Linked DNA regions of Macaca fascicularis. Each later gene encodes a partner of the first gene's protein in a complex. Links are inferred from orthologs where the notes say so. Each region holds a gene or a part of one and is shown in the gene's direction. Other genes may lie near its edges.

Region 1 (7,085 bases):
ACTCCAGCCTGGGTGACAGAGCAAGTCCCTGTCTCTAAAACTAAAACTAAAACAAAACAAAACAACAAAAAAGAAAAAAAAGAAAAGAAAAAACTCACTAAGCAGCTTTATGCTTTAAAGCAGGAGTTCCCAGCCCCCAGGCTGTGGACCAGTAATGGTCAGTTGCCTGTTAGGACATGGCTGCACAGCAGGTGAGGGGCAGGGGAGGGAGCATTACTGCCTGAGCTCCACCTCCTGACAGATCAGCAGAGGCACTAGATTCTCAGAGGAGGGCTAACCCTATTGTGAACGGAGTATGTGAGGGATGTCGGTTGTGTGTTCCTTATGAGAATCTAATGCCTGATGATCTGAGGTGGCACAGTTCCATGAAACTGGTCCCTGGTGCCAAAAAGATTGGGGACCACTGCTTTAAAGAACACAAAGGATTTTCAGGTAGTATCTGCTGGGAGCCAGGGAAGGGGGTAATTTTGGGGGCAAGAATACAAAGGAAATGAAAACAAATCATTTAACTACAGCATGGATCCAACTTATGTCATTATTCAGTTGTTGTGGAAACACACACACATGTACACACATACACATCACAGACAATATTTTGGCTGTTACTGTAATAGAATCTAGGCCTTTTCCATCTAAGCATAAAACTTACTAGTCCTCTTGGCTCCAGGCAGATTTTCAGTCCCCCTTGGCAAGCCTTTGTACTATAGCCAGCCGCGGGCAGTAGCTTCCATCAAGCTCTCCGGTATTTGAAGTGGCAAGCCACTAAGCTTGGCATGCCTCTGGTGCATGTTCACACAGACTGGGTGTCTGCTTGTCTCCCTGAATTATTTCTCTCAAATCTTGTGCTCCCTCAACCCCTATCATGAGGTCTGGAAAACTACTGATTTGGTCATTATCTTTTTCTTTGATCAGTGAGTCACCTTAGCAGGTCAATTTAGGTTAAAAAGTCACTCTAGTGCCTGGTTTATTATCTCGATTGGCTGTTATATTGAGTAATTAGATAATGGCTTAACTTCAATTTCCATTTGTGGTCTATTAATATAACCTTGAAACATTTAAACCCAGGTAAAACTTTTTCTTTTATTTCATGCTTTTACAAATAATATGTTCATGTATTTTTTATCCTCCAGCATCCAGATTTTTATCTTTAAATACCATTTCCCACTAAAAGGAACCAGAGCTCTCTGGAGAAATGGCTGACTCCACAACTGGGGCAGGAAATGTATATCAGGTAAGTCTGGAAGAAAACAATGGAGAAAGGAAGAGTGGGAAGAGTGATGCAGATGAAACAAGATTGACATGATTTGATAATTGTTGAAGTAGGGTGTTGGGTACACGTGGGAGTTCTTTATTCTTTTATGTATTTTAAACTTTTTCTATAAAAATAGTTTAAGGAAAGTTAAAAATGATATTTTCTAAACTGAAGGAGTAATAGTGCGCCCTTTGTAGAAACAAAAGATTTCTACAAAGAAAAGTGAAGTCTCCCTCCGACTCCAGATCCTTACACCCCTCCTCAGGGCAATCCTGGGAACAATTTCCCACGTAGTTGTCAAGAAAGTTTCCACGAAAATATTTTTAAATGTACATACTCATAAAATACAAATATTTTTAAAACCACAAATGGTAGCGTATTATACACGTTATTTTATGCCTTCTGAAGTTTTATTTCCTATTTTAATACAATGAATATGTCTACACATTACAATATTGTGGATTTTTATGCTTTACAATTGAGCTTCTTCCTTCAAGTTTCTTTGATTTATTCAAGAGATAAAAGGCCTACAGCTTCATATTCCTCAGGATTATTTACAAAAAGAAGGATGGCTCAGCCAAGGCTAAATTTAGGTTACAGTTCCTAATATTAACAGTTTTCAAGTTTAGGTTTCAGCTTTTGGGACATTATTGTTACCCTGAAAAATGTCATGTTTAAAAACACCTCACACCTCTACTATAGATTGGATCTTGGGAAATAGGGTTGAGGACGGGATCAATATAACCTCCGCCCCGGCGCATACCCGGGAGAGCTGCAGACGGTCTAAAGGATGTGGTGACCTCAGCGCTGCGTCCCTGCAGCAACCGGCGAGTGCTGAGGCACAGGCCATATCCCCCTAAGCTCGGCATCGCCTGCACCTCTCACAGGTGCTCTGTCCGCCACAGTAACGCTCTATGGAAATTAAAGTTGTAAGGCGAACGACAGAAGGAGCCAAACGAGGTGGATCCGGAGCCGCCACAAGGTGCCTGTGCTGCTGGCTTTTAACACACAAAAAGAGGAGTGCCAAGGAATACAAGAAGCCACAGGGGGAATAAAAAGCGACATATCTGCATGGAGCCTAAATTTCGCTCGATGATTTTCAGGGAAGAAGCATTACATATTAAAAACAAACATTGCTATTTTACGGGAATACCGGATTTAAAAATCCACACAGATTCGCAACATAAAACAGGCAGCCCAAAGACACGTCCGCGGTGTCCTGACAGTTCCGGCTCCGCCCGCGGGCCACGAGGCGGGGATCGACGGTCACTCCCCTCGGTTGCCCAGAGTACTTGGGCGGCAACGGGGAGCGCCGGGGGGAGACAAGCTCCTGGGCTAGGGCTGCGTCTTAGCCACCTTGCTTAGCTCTCGAGGTCCCGCGTGTTACGTGTTAGCACCGCCCCGGGGCGTCAGCGTGACCCGGGGCTGCAGGAACCGTGAACTCCCTGCCCCGCGGGCCCAGGTGACCGCGGGCATCGCTCTCCCGCGCGCGGGGGGCGGGGCTTCCCCCGGCTGTGCACTCAGCTACCACAGCGACATAAGATGGTGTCCGCTAGGCGTCCCAGGACGGCTTCCTAAGGGACTGGAGGGCCCCGACAGCCGGAGAGTCTGCCCCGCCCCTTGGCCGGCACAGGTAGGACGGCGGGGAGCTCAGAAGTTTCGAACTCCAAGGGCCGAAGCACAGCCAAATACCCCACGGAACTTAACAAATGTTTGTGGGGAGAACGCCAAAAACGCGGGGAGGCGGGGCTGGCGCACAGTCACCCTCTCGCGACATCTAAGTGACGTCGCATAGCAAGCACGTGTTCTAGTCTTTCACCTTCAGTCAGCCTCCTCCGTTATATGGGCCTGCCCCTTTAAGCGAGTGATGGACAGTTACTTCAGCCTATCAACTTCCTTGCAGACATCCAATCAGATTTAAACTTCTTTTAGCCGCCGGAGGAGTTGGAAAAAGGGGGTCGAAAGAGGGAGCTCACCGTCTCTCGCGATATCGCTGTGAGCCTGCCTCTCGGAAAAACGCCGAAACTTGGCCCCACCTCCCAAATAGTGGTTTAAAGGACGGGTTTACAAGCCAATGAAAGGGATGAGGAGGCGGGGTTGCTGCTTTCACTGAGCAAGAAGTACCGTTACAGGGCAGACTTTTTGTCCAATCAACACAGCTACACTTTGGGTCACGTGACCGCAGAGTGCGAGGGGCGGAGCTACAGCCTGGCGCGAGGAACCGTTAAGATAGACAACAAATGTAACCAATGAGGTACTCTGACTAGGGGGTTGGGAACCCAATAACAGTGGTTGGGCGGGCGCCTTCCTGGAGCGCGGGGAGATGTAAAGATAGACAAATAATTTTCCCAATGAGACTGTAGAAGAGAGAGCTAATTGGCCAATGAGGACTGCGGGGCGGGACCCTGTGCCGCGGCGGAGTCCAAGATGGCGGCGTGCGGTTCCGCTGTGTGAAACGAGCGCGGGGCGGCGGGTTGATCAGCTCCGCGGAGACGACCTCCGAGGACCCGCAACAATGAAGGGAAAAGAGCGCTCGCCAGTCAAGGCCAAACGCTCCCGTGGTGGTGAGGACTCGACTTCCCGCGGAGAGCGGAGCAAGAAGTTAGGGGGCTCTGGTGGCAGCAATGGGAGCAGCAGCGGAAAGACCGATAGCGGCGGCGGGTCGCGGCGGAGTCTCCACCTGGACAAGTCCAGCAGTCGAGGTGGCAGCCGCGAGTATGACACCGGTGGGGGCAGCTCCAGTAGCCGCTTGCATAGTTATAGCTCCCCGAGCACCAAAAATTCTTCGGGCGGGGGCGAGTCGCGCAGCAGCTCCCGGGGTGGAGGCGGGGAGTCACGTTCCTCTGGGGCCGCCTCCTCAGCTCCCGGCGGCGGGGACGGCGCGGAATACAAGACTCTGAAGATAAGCGAGTTGGGGTCCCAGCTTAGTGACGAAGCGGTGGAGGACGGCCTGTTTCATGAGTTCAAACGTTTCGGTGATGTAAGTGTCAAAATCAGTCATCTGTCGGGTTCTGGCAGCGGGGATGAGCGGGTAGCCTTTGTGAACTTCCGGCGGCCAGAGGACGCGCGGGCGGCCAAGCATGCCAGAGGCCGCCTGGTGCTCTATGACCGGCCTCTGAAGATAGAAGCTGTGTATGTGAGCCGGCGCCGCAGCCGCTCCCCTTTAGACAAAGATACTTATCCTCCTTCAGCCAGCGTGGTCGGGGCCTCTGTAGGTGGTCACCGGCACCCCCCTGGAGGTGGTGGAGGCCAGAGATCACTTTCCCCTGGTGGCGCTGCTTTAGGATACAGAGACTACCGGCTGCAGCAGTTGGCTCTTGGCCGCCTGCCCCCTCCACCTCCGCCACCATTGCCTCGAGAGCTGGAGAGAGAAAGAGACTACCCGTTCTATGAGAGAGTGCGCCCTGCATACAGTCTTGAGCCAAGGGTGGGAGCTGGAGCAGGTGCTGCTCCTTTCAGAGAAGTGGATGAGATTTCACCCGAGGATGATCAGCGAGCTAACCGGACGCTTTTCTTGGGCAACCTAGACATCACTGTAACGGAGAATGATCTAAGAAGGGCGTTTGATCGCTTTGGAGTCATCACAGAAGTAGATATCAAGAGGCCTTCTCGCGGCCAGACTAGTACTTACGGCTTTCTCAAATTTGAGAACTTAGATATGTCCCACCGGGCCAAATTAGCAATGTCCGGCAAAATTATAATTCGGAATCCTATCAAAATTGGTTATGGTAAAGCTACACCCACCACCCGCCTCTGGGTGGGAGGCCTGGGACCTTGGGTTCCTCTTGCTGCCCTGGCACGAGAATTTGATCGATTTGGCACCATACGCACCATAGACTACCGAAAAGGTGATAGTTGGGCATATATCCAGTATGAAAGCCTGGATGCAGCGCATGCTGCCTGGACCCATATGCGGGGCTTCCCACTTGGTGGCCCAGATCGACGCCTTAGAGTAGACTTTGCCGACACCGAACATCGTTACCAGCAGCAGTATCTGCAGCCTCTGCCCTTGACTCATTATGAGCTGGTGACAGATGCTTTTGGACATCGGGCACCTGACCCTTTGAGGGGTGCTCGGGATAGGACACCACCCTTACTATACAGAGATCGTGATAGGGACCTTTATCCTGACTCTGATTGGGTGCCACCCCCACCCCCAGTCCGAGAACGCAGCACTCGGACTGCAGCTACTTCTGTGCCTGCTTACGAGCCACTGGATAGCCTTGATCGCAGGCGGGATGGTTGGTCCTTGGACCGGGACAGAGGTGATCGAGATCTGCCCAGCAGCAGAGACCAGCCTAGGAAGCGAAGGCTGCCTGAGGAGAGTGGAGGACGTCATCTGGATAGGTCTCCTGAGAGTGACCGCCCACGAAAACGTCACTGCGCTCCTTCTCCTGACCGCAGTCCAGAATTGAGCAGTAGCCGGGATCGTTACAACAGCGACAATGATCGATCTTCCCGTCTTCTCTTGGAAAGGCCCTCTCCAATCAGAGACAGACGAGGTAGTTTGGAGAAGAGCCAGGGTGACAAGCGAGACCGTAAAAACTCTGCATCAGCTGAACGAGATAGGAAGCACCGGACAACTGCTCCCACTGAGGGAAAAAGCCCTCTGAAAAAAGAAGACCGCTCTGATGGGAGTGCACCTAGCACCAGCACTGCTTCCTGCAAGCTGAAGTCCCCGTCCCAGAAACAGGATGGGGGGACAGCCCCTGCGGCAGCAGCCTCTCCCAAACTCTGTTTGGCCTGGCAGGGCATGCTTCTACTGAAGAACAGCAACTTTCCTTCCAACATGCATCTGTTGCAGGGTGACCTCCAAGTGGCTAGTAGTCTTCTTGTGGAGGGTTCAACTGGAGGCAAAGTGGCCCAGCTCAAGATCACTCAGCGTCTCCGTTTGGACCAGCCCAAGTTGGATGAAGTAACTCGACGCATCAAAGTAGCAGGGCCCAATGGTTATGCCATTCTTCTGGCTGTGCCTGGAAGTTCTGACAGCCGGTCCTCCTCTTCCTCAGCTGCATCAGACACTGCCACTTCTACTCAGAGGCCACTTAGGAACCTTGTGTCCTATTTAAAGCAAAAGCAGGCAGCCGGGGTGATCAGCCTCCCTGTGGGGGGCAACAAAGACAAGGAAAACACCGGGGTCCTTCATGCCTTCCCACCTTGTGAGTTCTCCCAGCAGTTCCTGGATTCCCCTGCCAAGGCACTGGCCAAATCTGAAGAAGATTACCTGGTCATGATCATTGTCCGTGGTGCGTCCTAAAGTCCATGTGTAACTTGTATTTACTACTTTGACATGGTTCCTGTTTTGTGATGTGTAATGGGATACAGCATCAGATGCAATTTTCTTTTTAGTTGTTAGTTGTAGCATTTTCTTTTTTATATTTTTATAAACGTCTTTAAAATAGAAATCAGGACAGTTTAGCTATTTTTTTGTTTGTTTAGCTATTATTTTAAGTGAAAGGGATGCCCTAAAGGTAGCAGGCAGACAGATTTGCTTTAATTAGGAGTTCCCACCCTTACGAGTAATTTTTTTCCTCTATTCAGTTTTTTTTTTTTTTTTAATCTTGAGCCTAAAAAATCCTCTGAGTTACAAAACCAAAACTTTGAAAAGTCAGAATTTGGAGAAAGGAGTCCACTGACCATACAAAGAGAGTAATAGCCACCTAAAAAATGACTTGATTGGTGTGTAGGTAGATAATTCTTTTACCAGAAATGTGTGTGACTGAAATTTGATCAGGGATCTCAAAGGTATGCTGGTAAATTGTTTAGCAATGTAATTATTTTAATCAGGTATTTGAATATTTCTTAAGATACAGTTTATTCCCAGAGAGTTTGC
Region 2 (6,289 bases), on another chromosome or scaffold:
AAGTTAGTTAACCAGCACTAGGGATAAATGTGTAGCTCTTTCAAAAGACGCTTCATTACAAGTACAGGAAGAGAACAGCTTAAAGATTTGAAGCTCCAAATTATACCTCAAAAATGAGCTGCTTGGTGTCATTTACAATTCTTTATAAGTAGCTAAAAAGTATTCTATGAGTAGCTGAAAGTATTCAGGAGCATTGGCTCCTGAAATCCAAATGGAAGTCAAATAAAATTGGAAAAGTAACACAGCATATGGAAGACATGAATGAATGAGAAAGAAGTTATAATACCTGAACTTATTTTAAGTATCTAATATTTAATTGAATTTGAGCTTTTTTATTTTATTTTTGTATTGGAGGTTTTTTTTTTTTTCTTTTTTCTTTTTTTTGGGACAAGGTACCAACTCTGTTGCCCAGGCTAGAGTGCGGTGGCACAGTCATGGCTTACTGCAGCCTCGACCTCCTGAACTCAAGCAGTTTTCCCACCTCAGCCTCCTAATAGCTGGGACCACAGGCACAACACTACCCCTGGCTAATTTTTTTAGTATTTGCAGAGATTAGGTCTTTTTATGTTGCCCAGGCTGGCCTCAAACTCCTGGGCTCAAGGGATCCTCCCACCTCAGCCTCCCAAAGTGTTGGGATTACAGGCATGAGCCACCATTCCTGGGCCTGATTGGCCCTGGCCAAAAGGAACAAAATAATATATATGCTGTTTTAAACAAGAATAACAACAGTATTATGACTAGGTATCAGGAGTCTTAATTTTGCTCTCAATTCGTCTGCTATGTAACAGTAAGACTTTGGGCAAAAAGATACTCTTGAGGGTCTCAGTTTCGTCACATTTTATTGGTTGACACTTTTCATTTTTATGACATATTACTTACTATACACCAAACTATCTCATTTAATCATTCCAATTTGGGGAGGTATCCATTTGACAGTTGAAAAATTTAAGTAGGATTATATGAGATAACAAGTATGATTATATGGAAATAAGATTGTGCCCAAATTCTGAAATTCTACAATTACTTTATATGCTTTATATAAATAGTAAGGCTGTTGGGTAACATCACTGCTTCTATTATTTATTAACTCCAAGGTAGACTATAACTGTATTTCAGTTGAATATCTCCATTTTTTTTTGGTGGTGGCTCTTCAAGATGCTATAGAAAAGTAAGAGTGAAACATATGTTTTTATAGGCATATTGGTATTTACTTTAACTTTAATATCTGACTTTGATCTTTCCTCTCATCTCTCATTCCCCAAATTAGATTGAAAATGATTAGGAGATTTTTATCTTTTTTTTTTTCTTTTGAGACAGAGCCTTGCTTTGTCACCCATGCTGGAATGCAGTTGTGCTATCTTGGCTCACTGTAAAGCCCTGCCTCCCAATTGAAGTGATTCTCCTGCTTCAGCCTCCTGAGTAGCCATCCAGGAGGTTTTTATCTTATTTGCTTATGCAGCAGTTTATCATACTGGTGAGAGTTTGGCGAAAAATGATTTAAGATTTAGAAAAATAATTCAGCATGAGAAATACTCATGAGCTTTTGATAAATTAGTGGATTAGGGCATGTAGAATTTAGGTCAGAGTGATGTTAATGACACGGTGCAAAATAAATATTTAGTAACAGGAACAAATATTGATCTTGATTTCAGAGATTTTAAAATAAAACTCTGCTGGGTGCAGTGGCTCATATCTGTCATCCCAGCACTTTGAGAGACAGAGGCGGGCAGATCACTTGAGGCCAGGAGTTCAAGACCAGCCTGGCCAACATGGTGAAACCCCATCTCTACTAAAAATACAAAAATTAGCATGGCATGGTGGCACGTGCTTGTGGTCCCAGCCAGTTGGGAAGCTGAGGCATGAGAATCACTTGAACCTGGGAAGCGGAGGTTGCAGTGAGTGAAGATTACACTCCTGAACTCTCGCCTGCGTGAAACTCCGTCTCTAAATAAATAAATTAATAAAATAAAATAAAATTCTAAGTTTCATTTTGAGGTGTTATCTTACATTACCCAATAAGCATTCCTGAAAAGTGTATGTTTTATACTCTACTATATCTTTTTTTTTTTTTTTTTGGTTCAGGGGGAACTCCCAACAGGATTTCCTGTGGTGGAAAGGAAGCTTGTTGGAAAGTTTTTTGTTTTTTGTTTTTTTTTTAATTATACTTTAAGTTCTGGGATACATGTGCAGACCATGCAGGTTTGTTACGTAGGTATACACGTGCCATGGTGGTTTGCTGCACCCATCAACCTGTAATCTACATTAGGTATTTCTCCTAATGCTATCCCTCCCCTAGTCCCCAACCCCCCTCTACTATATCTTTATATGTACTTGATCATCATACCAGCAATACTGTACTTATTTATTTATTTTTCCTTCCTTTATTCTTAAGTTGATGGGGATAGGGACTGTGTCTTATTCATGTTTTTATTCCCAGCAGCTACGCAGCACTAGCATATGGTAGACTTTCAGATGTCACTGTGAGCAATCATTTAGCTGGTATTTGTTTTATGTTAATGTGTAACAGCTTCTAGGTCATTAAGGTTCACATCTCTATTTTCTAGGTTATGTAGAGATGAAAGTACCATTTTACCCAACAAAGAGATACATGTAGCAATTTTAAGTTTGAACATTTTTACAGTCGTATTAAATATAGAAATAAGGTTTTATAAGACTCTCATTTGAAGTTAGCATTTAGAAGATTTTCAACAGTGTACAGCTTTGTCAGAGAATAGAATATTGAGGTGGTGGGAATCAAATTGTGTTTTGGATTATTTTGTGATTACAGAAGGTCTGAGCGCTTAAAATTTAAAACCCCATGTCCATTGATGACACTAGAATGTAGAATTGGGAGATGATGTAATCCTTTCTATGTTTTGATAGTCAACTATATATGTGACGTTGATATCCAGAAGGTATATATGTATTCCGTATTATGGCTATATATTTAAAGACTGGCATTTCTTTTTATATTCTACACTGAAAAAAAATTACCTTGAAACCTTGGAATATAGTGTCTGAAGCCTCTAGAAAGTTTTTTTTAAAGCTAGTTGGTTATTGTAAGTATTGTTTATTTCTTTAAGTTAAGGATTTCTGTTTAAAATTCTTTTGTTTCTAGTGTTTACGAAAATGGGGCTACAGAAGATGTGAAGATATTTGTTGGATTAAAACCAATAAAAACAATCCTGGGAAGACTAAGACTTTAGATCCAAAGGCTGTCTTTCAGAGAACAAAGGTATTGCCTTTACTGATTTGTTTTTTTAAATTTTCATGGTTTTCTCTCAAGCTTTTCCAAATCACTATATACTGTTTAATTAACTTTAGTAAAAAGGTCCTTTTCTTAGACTGGTGAAGATAGCATTGAGCATTACAGGAATACATCCAAATTTGTTTTAAAATGTTTTATTCATTGTCTTAGATAACCCCACCATGCTAAAAAGGGGAGTATATATTCCTCTATGTCCTAAATGCCATATTTCTATTAGATAAAGGCTTTTGATCACACTGACCTGTGGAATTTTTCTAGGCTCAGAAAGAAGAGAGAGCCGCAAAACTCTAGCTGGCCAGCTTAGAGACATATTTCTCTCTTCTTTCCTTCTTTTTCCTTTACAAGAACCCCTGAGAACTTCTGTTTCTTGTGACTCTGAGTTGCTAGTATCAGGTTTTAACAGGTTTTGTTCTTTACTTTTTAGGGAGCCACTGGTGGGAGGGTCTTTCTTATTAAGTCTTTTTTGGACTGGAATCATGCCTAGGTAATGAAGCCTCCGTAAAAATTCCAAGACAGGGGTTGGAGAGCTGGGTTGGTGAACCTGTGGAGTTTCTGGGACTGTGGTCCACTTGGAGAGGGCACAGCAGCTCCATGCCCCATGCCCCATACTTTTCATTATATATCTCTTCCATCTGGCTGTTTTGAGTTGTATCCTTTTATAATAAATAGATCATAGTAAGTAAAGAGCTTTCCTGAATTCCTTGAGCTGTTCTAGCAAATGATCTAACTCGAGGAAGAGGTCGTGGGAACCTCTGATTTATAGCCAGTTGGTCAGAAGCACAGGTGACAATCTGGACTTGTGATTGGTATCTGAAGGTGGTGCAATCATGTGGTTCTCAGCCCTTGACCTGTGGGGTCTGCACTAACTAGGTAGATAGTGTCAGAATTGAATTGAATGTGTTGATGAAGAAATGAAGAATTGCTTGGTATGGGAAAAATCCACACATCTGGGATCAGAAATGAAGTATTCTGAAAATACTGAGTGTTGTAAGTGAGAGTGTAGAAAAGAGTTTTTCTTATTTACATGGCAGTCTATCCTCATCCAGAGATCCAGGTTTTCCTGTTGTTTTGTTGCCCATAGAACTGTATCTCACCAGAAATGGTGGCTCACTTCTATAATCCCTGCACTTTGGGAGGCCGAGGTAGGTAGATCACCTGAGCCCAGGAATTTGAGACCAGCCTGAGCAACATGGCGAGACCCTGTCTTTACAAAAAATTTAAAAATTAGCCAGGTGTGGTGGTGTGTTCCTGTGGTCCCAGCTACTTGGGAGGCTGAGGCAGGGGGATCACTTGAGCCCAGGAGATCAAGGCTGCAGTGAGCTGAGATCGTGCCACTGTACTCCAGCCTGGGTGACAGAGTGAGACCTAGTCTCAAAAAAGAGAGAAATAACTGTATCCCAAAGATTTGGAGAAATGAGGATTGTTTTAGAATTGAGGACGTCAATGTAAAAGGTTTTGGAATGACTGTTGATTAAAAGAGATTAATTGGTCTGCTCTTGTTATTTAGGAACACTGCCTCATGGGGATCAAAGGAACTGTGAAGCGTAGCACAGATGGGGACTTCATTCATGCTAATGTTGACATTGACTTAATTATCACAGAAGAACCTGAAATTGGCAATATAGAAAAACCTGTAGAAATTTTTCATATAATTGAGCATTTTTGTCTTGGTAGAAGACGCCTTCATCTATTTGGAAGAGATAGTACAATTCGACCAGGTAGGACCTCAGTTAAAACAACAACAACTTTATGATTCTTTGGGTTATGCATGTCAAGAAATAGGACACGGTGCTGTGTGAAATAAACTTCTTATGCATTTGATTCCTTTTCTTGCTGTACTCAAATATGAACAGTTTCAGGTCCATAGCAAAATTGAGAGGAAGACACAGAGACTTTCCACATACCTTCTGCCCCACACATGCATAACCTTTCCAATTATCAATATCTCCCACCAGAGTGGTACATTTGTTACAAATGATGAACCTACATTGACACGTCATAATCACTCAAAGTCCACGGTTTACATTTGGATTCACTCTTGGTGTAGTAATTCTGTGAGTTTGGACAAATGTATAATGACATCTATCCACCATTATAGGATCATACTCAATAGTTTCACTGCCCTAAAAATCCTCCATGCTCCACTTATTCATCCCTACCCACAACCCTTGACAACCACTTATCTTTTTACTGTCTCCATAATTTGCCTTTGTCAGAATGTTATATAGTTGGAATTGTATAGTATGTGGCTTTTTTAGATTGGCTTCTTTCATTTGGTAATTGGCATTTAAGATTTCTCCATTCCTTTTCATGGTTTGATAGGTCATTTCTTTTTAGTGCTGAATAATATTCCATTGGATGTACCACAGTTTATGTATCCATTTACCTACTGAAGGACATCTTCCAAGTTTTGGCAGTTATGAATAAGCTACAGTGGAAATCTGTGTACAGGTTTTTGTGTGGTCATAAGTTTTCAGCTCCTTTGGGTAAATGCCAGGGAGCACAAATGCTGGATTGCATGGTAAGAATGTGTTTAATTTTGTAAGTAACTGCCACGACTGTCTTCTGAAGTGCCTGTACCTTTTTGCATTTCCACCGGCAGTGAGAGTTCCTGTTGCTCCACATCCTCACCAGCATTTGGTGTTGTCAGTGTTCAGGATTTTGGCAATTTTAGTGTGTGTGTAGTAGTATCACATTGTTGTTTTAATTTGCATTTTTCTGATGGCGTATGATGTAGAACATCTTTTCATATGCTTATTTGCTATCTGTATGCCTTATTTGGTGAGATGTCTTTTAAGGTCTTTGGCCCGTTTTTTATTTGGCTGTTTGTTTTCTTATTGTTGACGTTTGAGAGTTAGTTGTATATTTTGCAGAATAGTACTTTATCAGATTTGTTTTTGCAAATATTTTCTCTTATTCGGTGACTGTCTTCTCATTGCCTTGTTACATGTTTATTTTTATTTAATTAATTTCTGCTTTTTTATTTTCTTTCTACTTTCTTTGGATTTACTTCGTGTCTTT
Region 3 (6,289 bases), on another chromosome or scaffold:
GGAGGTAGGAGGGAATAGGTTAAGCAAATGGTTGAAAGGATTGGCCCTGAGAAGGAGGGTTTCTTACCCTCTTGCGAGTGAAAAATAGTGGAAAGGTTTGTATTAGGTACTTATCCTTTAAAACAGAGCTGCTGCTTTTACTCTTGGTGTTTCAAATTAAGCTAAGCTTAGAAAAAATAAAATACATCCTCAGGAGTCAATTTGTTTTTGTAGATCTTTTGTTTGTCCAGCATACTAAATCATCTGTTTGATTGTCTATGTGCAGTCTTTGCCAAGTACATCAGTAGTCAGTTTTCAGTGTAAGGCATAAGTTAGCCACATAGTTACTATAGTCTTAACTATATACTGTGTTCTTAACTATATTCTATTTTGTTGGTAAGTAAAATCTATCATTTTTGTTCACCTCAGTGGTATTTCTATTTTTCATTTAGTCTTTTGCCAACCAACGCAAAATAGATTTAGGAATAAAACTAACTTTGAAAACACTTTACTCAGTGTTCTCTTCTGTAGAACATGGAATTTATTCTAGTCAGATTCACCTCTCTTTTCATGATTGAAATTGTTGACTATTGGGTCTTTGTAAAGCTAAATAGTAACTGAGTCTCAGTCAGTGTTGTAGACTGTTTTAATCAGTCCTGTCAGTACGTGGAGTGCACTGTAAGTCATGGTTTATTCTTGCTCTCTTAAGTTATCTTAGCAGCTGGTTTCACATTGACTATGCAGTTGTAGTAGATTTTTGCTCAATGGAACAAATATATTCCCAAACTACTTAGTATATTTGTTCCTTTACTAAATTTATATTAGAAAATTTCAACTGTAATTCTGTTTAAGCCTTAGTATGGAGTTAGATCTTGGGCCGGATCTACTTTGAGTATGAAGAAAATGATGAATTTAATGCTAATAACTATATTTCATATTTTAGAAATGTATTTTTAGTGTTCTAGTAAATAGTACAACTGAAGTCGAAATTGAAGGTTTCATATGTAAGTAGAAGGGTTCCGGTGTGATGGAAAAAGCTCTAGACTGGGAATCAGAAGGCTGGAGAACTAGAGTTCTTGTCCCAGCTATGGCACTGAACTAAACAGTTGGGTTATTTAATCTCAAAATAAGCAGTTTGGGTTAGGTTAGTTACTTTCCAGCTTTACAATTCTATGATTCAAATCTATTCAGAGGGAGAAAAAATATGAATTATACTTTATTTTGGCTTAAGGTCCTATAGTTTTGCTTTTATAAAGTTGTAACGGCAACTCTTGTAGCTATGTGTACTGTATATTTTTTCCTTTAGAAATGCAAATGTGTATTTTAAGTTATAATCTTTCACCTGATGTATTTTTAGGGGACTTTACATAGAATAATTTCCATAGGCAAAAAATTAAAATAAGCAAACCAAAAGACTTCATTAACTCTTAGGTAATTAATATTTTAAACTTTGCTTTTTTCCAGTGGGTTGTCAGCATTTTTAGTAAATATAATGTTGATTTTTGTTTGTTTTTTTGGTAATTTTGGATTGTAAAGTAAAATGTATGTAGCCCCTTTAAGATCCAGATTTGGAGACGTAATCAAATGGCCTCAATTCCTAAATGAATAACCTTAGTTATTTTTTAATTGACAAATAATTTTTGTACATATTCAAGGACTACTAGTGATGTTTCAATACATATAATGTGTAGTGATCAGATTGGGGTAATTAGCATATTCATCAAATAGTTTTTAATCTGTACTTTTTCGAGAAAGTTTTAAGATTTTTCTAGAGAATTTCAGGATGAAAGAGGGGAGGACTTAATGAAAGAGTTGGTAAATCAAGTGAATGGAGGGAGTTTTCCCCCACCTTCTTATGTATGTTTCCTTTGATTTGGTCGTAATTGTTTCTTTTGCTTTGCACAGACTCAAATCCAGTACCTCAAGCAAGTCCAGCAGCCGAGCGTTGCCCAACTGAGATCAACAATGGTAGACCCAGCGATCAACTTGTTTTTCCTAAAAATGAAAGGTGAACTGGAACAGACTAAAGACAAACTGGAACAAGCCCAAAATGAACTGAGTGCCTGGAAGTTTACGCCTGATAGGTAAACAAATCATACTCCCCAGTCAAGACTTCCCTGACAGTCCCACTACGAGAAAGCTGTGGTGGGACAGCCAAGTACTCGTTTCCACACCAAGACTCAGACTTTTTGAGCCAAAAAAAGCCACATTCTTACACTGTCCAGCTTGTAATGGTTAATGTAAAACTTACCAGATGAACCTTGTGTTTCAGCTTTTTTCTTTTCCCCTTCCCCTTGCTTCAGAGGCCTGATGGCGTCGGACTATTCCGAAGAAGTGGCCACCTCCGAAAAATTCCCCTTCTAGAACATGTAGACACTTGAGAAATGTTTCTGTTTGAAGAAAATAGAGGGAGAAACAGAAGTCTTAAGTCTGTGGCACACTGTGTCTTCAGACAGTTTGAAGGAATGAAAACCTAGAGATTTTAAATCATGAATTGAACATGTAAAATTCCAGTAAAATGTAAAAATGGAATATGCATCGCTCTTAACCTTGAGCATAGTGACTTAGAGACACTGTGTATCAGTTTTGCCAATAAGACTGTGGACTTCATGATTGTTGTTGAACTTCTGGGTCAAAACTCAAATGAGGTGAATTTTGCCTTTAAAGGGTTTATTTGCTGAGAACCAACTTTTAATAGTCACGAGAGAATCAAATAATAGATGTCCGTACAAGTAGCGCATATATTTAACCATTTAGTTTGGGGCTCTATATTACTTGCTTGAGCCTTAATCAATGTGGTTTTATTCAATGGTTTGTTCTTTGAATGGTTGCAAAACTGTAGATTATCTTACTGAGGACTGTACAAACGTGAAGGTGTGGTATCAAACTTCAGGTTGAAACTGTTTGAAGCATTATAAACATTCATTTCACAACTAGATTGTATAAGGATATTAGCTGTGATGAGACTCACTGCATTATTTTTTTAGTGAATTTTATGAAATCCCCATTCCATTCAACAGGCACATGTTTAAAAGAGCATTGTCGTTGGTGTTAATGGGGGAATGTGTTCCTTCATTGTATTTGGGCCTTTTGTATTGCACTCTTGATATTAAATTAAATGTGCCTTGAAATAGTTGGTTTTTTTTTTTTAAGTTCAAAGAATATTATGATGATTTTGTTGTACTCTAACATTTTAATTTGGGGGGGGGCCTGTGGAGAGCAGATTCATTTTGGAAATACTGTTGCTGTGCTCTTCAAAGTGAAGGAAAAGGCGCTGTGCCTCATTTTTAAAAGACCTACATAAAAGACAAGGAGACTTGACACTGGTTACCTTAATGACACTTTGTCCCAGGGTACTGCAGTAGAAAGTAATTGCGGGACAGCTTCACAGGGTGCCTGCCAGAAGATACTGTGTTGGAACTGTGGGCTGGCCTAAGTAAGACATTTTGTGAATTGAAAAAAGGTATAGTGATCATTTCTAGTAAATTCATTTAATCATTTAGATAAATGAGGCATTATTTTCTTCATGCTTCCATCCAATCCTGGAGGTGAATTTTTTCCGTCAGATCATTCTATAAGTCACCAATTCAAATTTTCGCTTGGTGATAATGGAGTCTAAGATGAGTGGAAGATAAATGTTCCAGCTTGTCCCAACGTTTAAGTGCAGTTTTAACAAGGGTGACTTAAGTTCTCTCTTAATCATTCAAATCAATTGTAAGTATCTTATATATGTTTGTGCTTTAGGGAACTGATTGTGGGGCAGAGGGTGGGTTGAAGAAGTGGTTTGTGTGACTTTTCAGCAAGAAACCTGCTTCTAAAATTCTCACTATTTGTGAGGGTTGGAGGGTAAGTAACCGGATCTGTTTGAAATTAGCTTATGTGATTGCATTAACGCTTTTGTATATATTTTATGCCATTTTAAGTTCACAGTAGAAATGGCCTAAGTATCTTTTTAGTAGAATTTAGTAGAAAAGTAATTCATAAAATGTATTATTAACATGTACTCAAATTTAGCAGGCATCTTTCTTTGCCACTTAGATAACAGTCATGAGTTCTATGGGTTTTTTTCTTGTCATTGTTAAAATTTTCCCTTTTAATAATAAGATAATACATGCTTGTATATAAAATTGAAATACTATAGAGAAAGGGGGAGATGAAAAGTGAGTGTCACTCTCTGATGTTACCTGGATATCCTCATTCTGTTCTCCAGGAGCAGTAACTGCTATTACTTTTTCTTGGGTATCATCAAGATAATTTCTATGCATATACAGTCATTTTATGTATATTATTTTAAACAAATGTGATCATACCATAAACACAGATGAGTTGCACCTTTTTTTTTAGTTGGTCTCTTCGGCATTTTTCCATTTTTTAGTGTATCTAGACTACTACATTTTTAATGGTTGCATAGTGTATTTCCATTATATTAAGGAATCATAATCTATTTAAATCACTTATAAATTGATTTTTTTCTGTAAAATTGGCTGTAAGCCAGAGTATATCAGGTACTATAAATACATCACTAATTTGAAACAAATAATGGCTCAGGCAATCCCCTGTCTGGAATATTTCCAGTAGTGGAATGGGTTTTGCTTTGGGGTGTGTGCGTGCGCACGTGTGTCTTCGCTTTACTGTTTTTTTGTTTTAATTTTGAGGAAGAAAGATTCTCAGAAATAACCTGTCCAGTTCAGTTAAAATATTTCATTCATGTGAGAATGCACACATTTTAGAGTGTTTAGAGGTATATCTTTCAACGTGCTTTCTATTATGTGTGTGGGTTAATTGATTTTAGGAATGGGTTTTTTTGTTTGTAATTTTAAAAAATTATTTCAGAAACAATTACTTGTAATTAAATTATTTTTTCAAAACTGTGGTTTTGTTAAAATTTATTTCAGTAATCACTAGTTTTAAATGTGATACGATTACCTTAGCTTAGACATTTATTTATTAAAAGGTATGACTTTTTAAACGAACCCCTTTTTTGCATTAGAATTTGTGACATTTTTATATGGGGTTAAGTCAGGTCACAAATTAATGTCTCTTATAGTTGTCTTTTTCCACTCTTTAAAATTCATATAATAAGAAAGTTAGTTGTAAACACCAATGAAATAGATATACTTTGCAAGAAGATAGTTTTGAGCGCATAGGCAGGAATTCCATCGCTTTTGACAATCTTGCATATCTCTCATTTTCCCACTGTTTAATTTCTAAGTGGATGTTCAGTGGAGGCTAACGCCTGAGAGTGCTTATGGGAAATGGTGGAAATCTGGAGCTACAGTAGCAACGAACAAGAACACCAGCTAATAATGTTATGAAAGAATAAAGCCTTTACCACATGCTCACTGGTGACCTTTCACCCTTCGGCTCCTCTGAGCAGTAGTAACCCAGGTTTAACTCTTCACATATTTTCTGGAAGAAAGCTTAATTACAAACTTCCTTGAATTACATTAGGTTAGAAAACATGAGGCCAGGCATGGTGGCTCATACCTGTAATCCCAACACTTTGGAAGGCTGAGGTAGGCAGATCACTTGAGCTTAGGAGTTTGAGACCAGCCTGGGCAACATGGTGAAACCCCATCTCTACTAAAACTCCAAAAATTAGCTGGGGGTGCTGGTGCACACCTATCGTCCCAGCTACTCTTGAGGCTGAGGTGGGAGGATCATCTGAGCCTGGGGACATCAAGGCTCCAGTGAGCTGAGATCACGCCACTGCACTCCAGTCTGGGCAACACAGTGAGACCCCCATCTCAAAAAAAAAAAATTATGCTGTAGGTGAAAGAACCGTGCAACACTTCTTCAAAGACTGACAATTATTTACAAAATGCTCTCATTTTTAAAGTTCTAAGGCATACTGAAGTAGTGTGTCAGGCAAGTGAAAGCCTCACTAGGAGAAGGAAAGACTAGAATTTAAAAAACATTTTAACCAATAAGGTCATTCTGAACTTACCCCAAGGACAAGAATGTCACACTGTCTTTATCCAAGTCTCAAAGGTAAATATCACAATTATTAGATCCCTTTAAAAGTGATCATTTTTTTCTTCTTGTCTTCATAAATAATTACAAGAACAAGCAAATAATTTCTCCTTTTATTGCTGAGGCTAAAGAAAAGCAGTAAAATTTTATTGGGAAACATTTGAGCTTTTCTTTACATATTTGCAATTGCTCTGTATGTGCACATAGGTTCCACTAGCATTTGGAACTAATTTGTGGAAAGTGTGACACTCCTAGATTGGCAGATATTTGCATGTTTGAATTGTGGTACGTGACCACTGGTCTTATTTTTGTGTCAAAAGGATGATCTTTTCTGTTA

What was found. The genes of interacting proteins can lie anywhere in the genome.
Region 2: RBM15 (region 1) and METTL14 share a complex: the UniProt entries of both Homo sapiens proteins name them as parts of the WMM complex. The link is inferred for Macaca fascicularis from reciprocal best matches to the Homo sapiens genes RBM15 and METTL14.
Region 3: RBM15 (region 1) and WTAP share a complex: the UniProt entries of both Homo sapiens proteins name them as parts of the WMM complex. The link is inferred for Macaca fascicularis from reciprocal best matches to the Homo sapiens genes RBM15 and WTAP.

The regions. Positions count from the first base shown.
Region 1 is NC_088375.1:123,968,260-123,975,344, reverse strand, and holds the start of RBM15 (RNA-binding protein 15), read left to right. Parts: upstream 1-2,755; 5' UTR 2,756-3,635; coding exon 3,636-6,498; intron 6,499-7,085. UniProt on the Homo sapiens protein: RNA-binding protein that acts as a key regulator of N6-methyladenosine (m6A) methylation of RNAs, thereby regulating different processes, such as hematopoietic cell homeostasis, alternative splicing of mRNAs and X chromosome inactivation mediated by Xist RNA.
Region 2 is NC_088379.1:123,996,974-124,003,262, forward strand, and holds part of METTL14 (N(6)-adenosine-methyltransferase non-catalytic subunit METTL14), read left to right. Parts: intron 1-3,118; coding exon 3,119-3,235; intron 3,236-4,775; coding exon 4,776-4,986; intron 4,987-6,289. UniProt on the Homo sapiens protein: The METTL3-METTL14 heterodimer forms a N6-methyltransferase complex that methylates adenosine residues at the N(6) position of some mRNAs and regulates the circadian clock, differentiation of embryonic stem cells and cortical neurogenesis.
Region 3 is NC_088378.1:11,237,088-11,243,376, reverse strand, and holds part of WTAP (pre-mRNA-splicing regulator WTAP), read left to right. Parts: intron 1-1,884; coding exon 1,885-2,063; intron 2,064-2,282; coding exon of another isoform or gene 2,283-2,343; exon of another isoform or gene 2,344-3,110; intron 3,111-6,289. UniProt on the Homo sapiens protein: Associated component of the WMM complex, a complex that mediates N6-methyladenosine (m6A) methylation of RNAs, a modification that plays a role in the efficiency of mRNA splicing and RNA processing.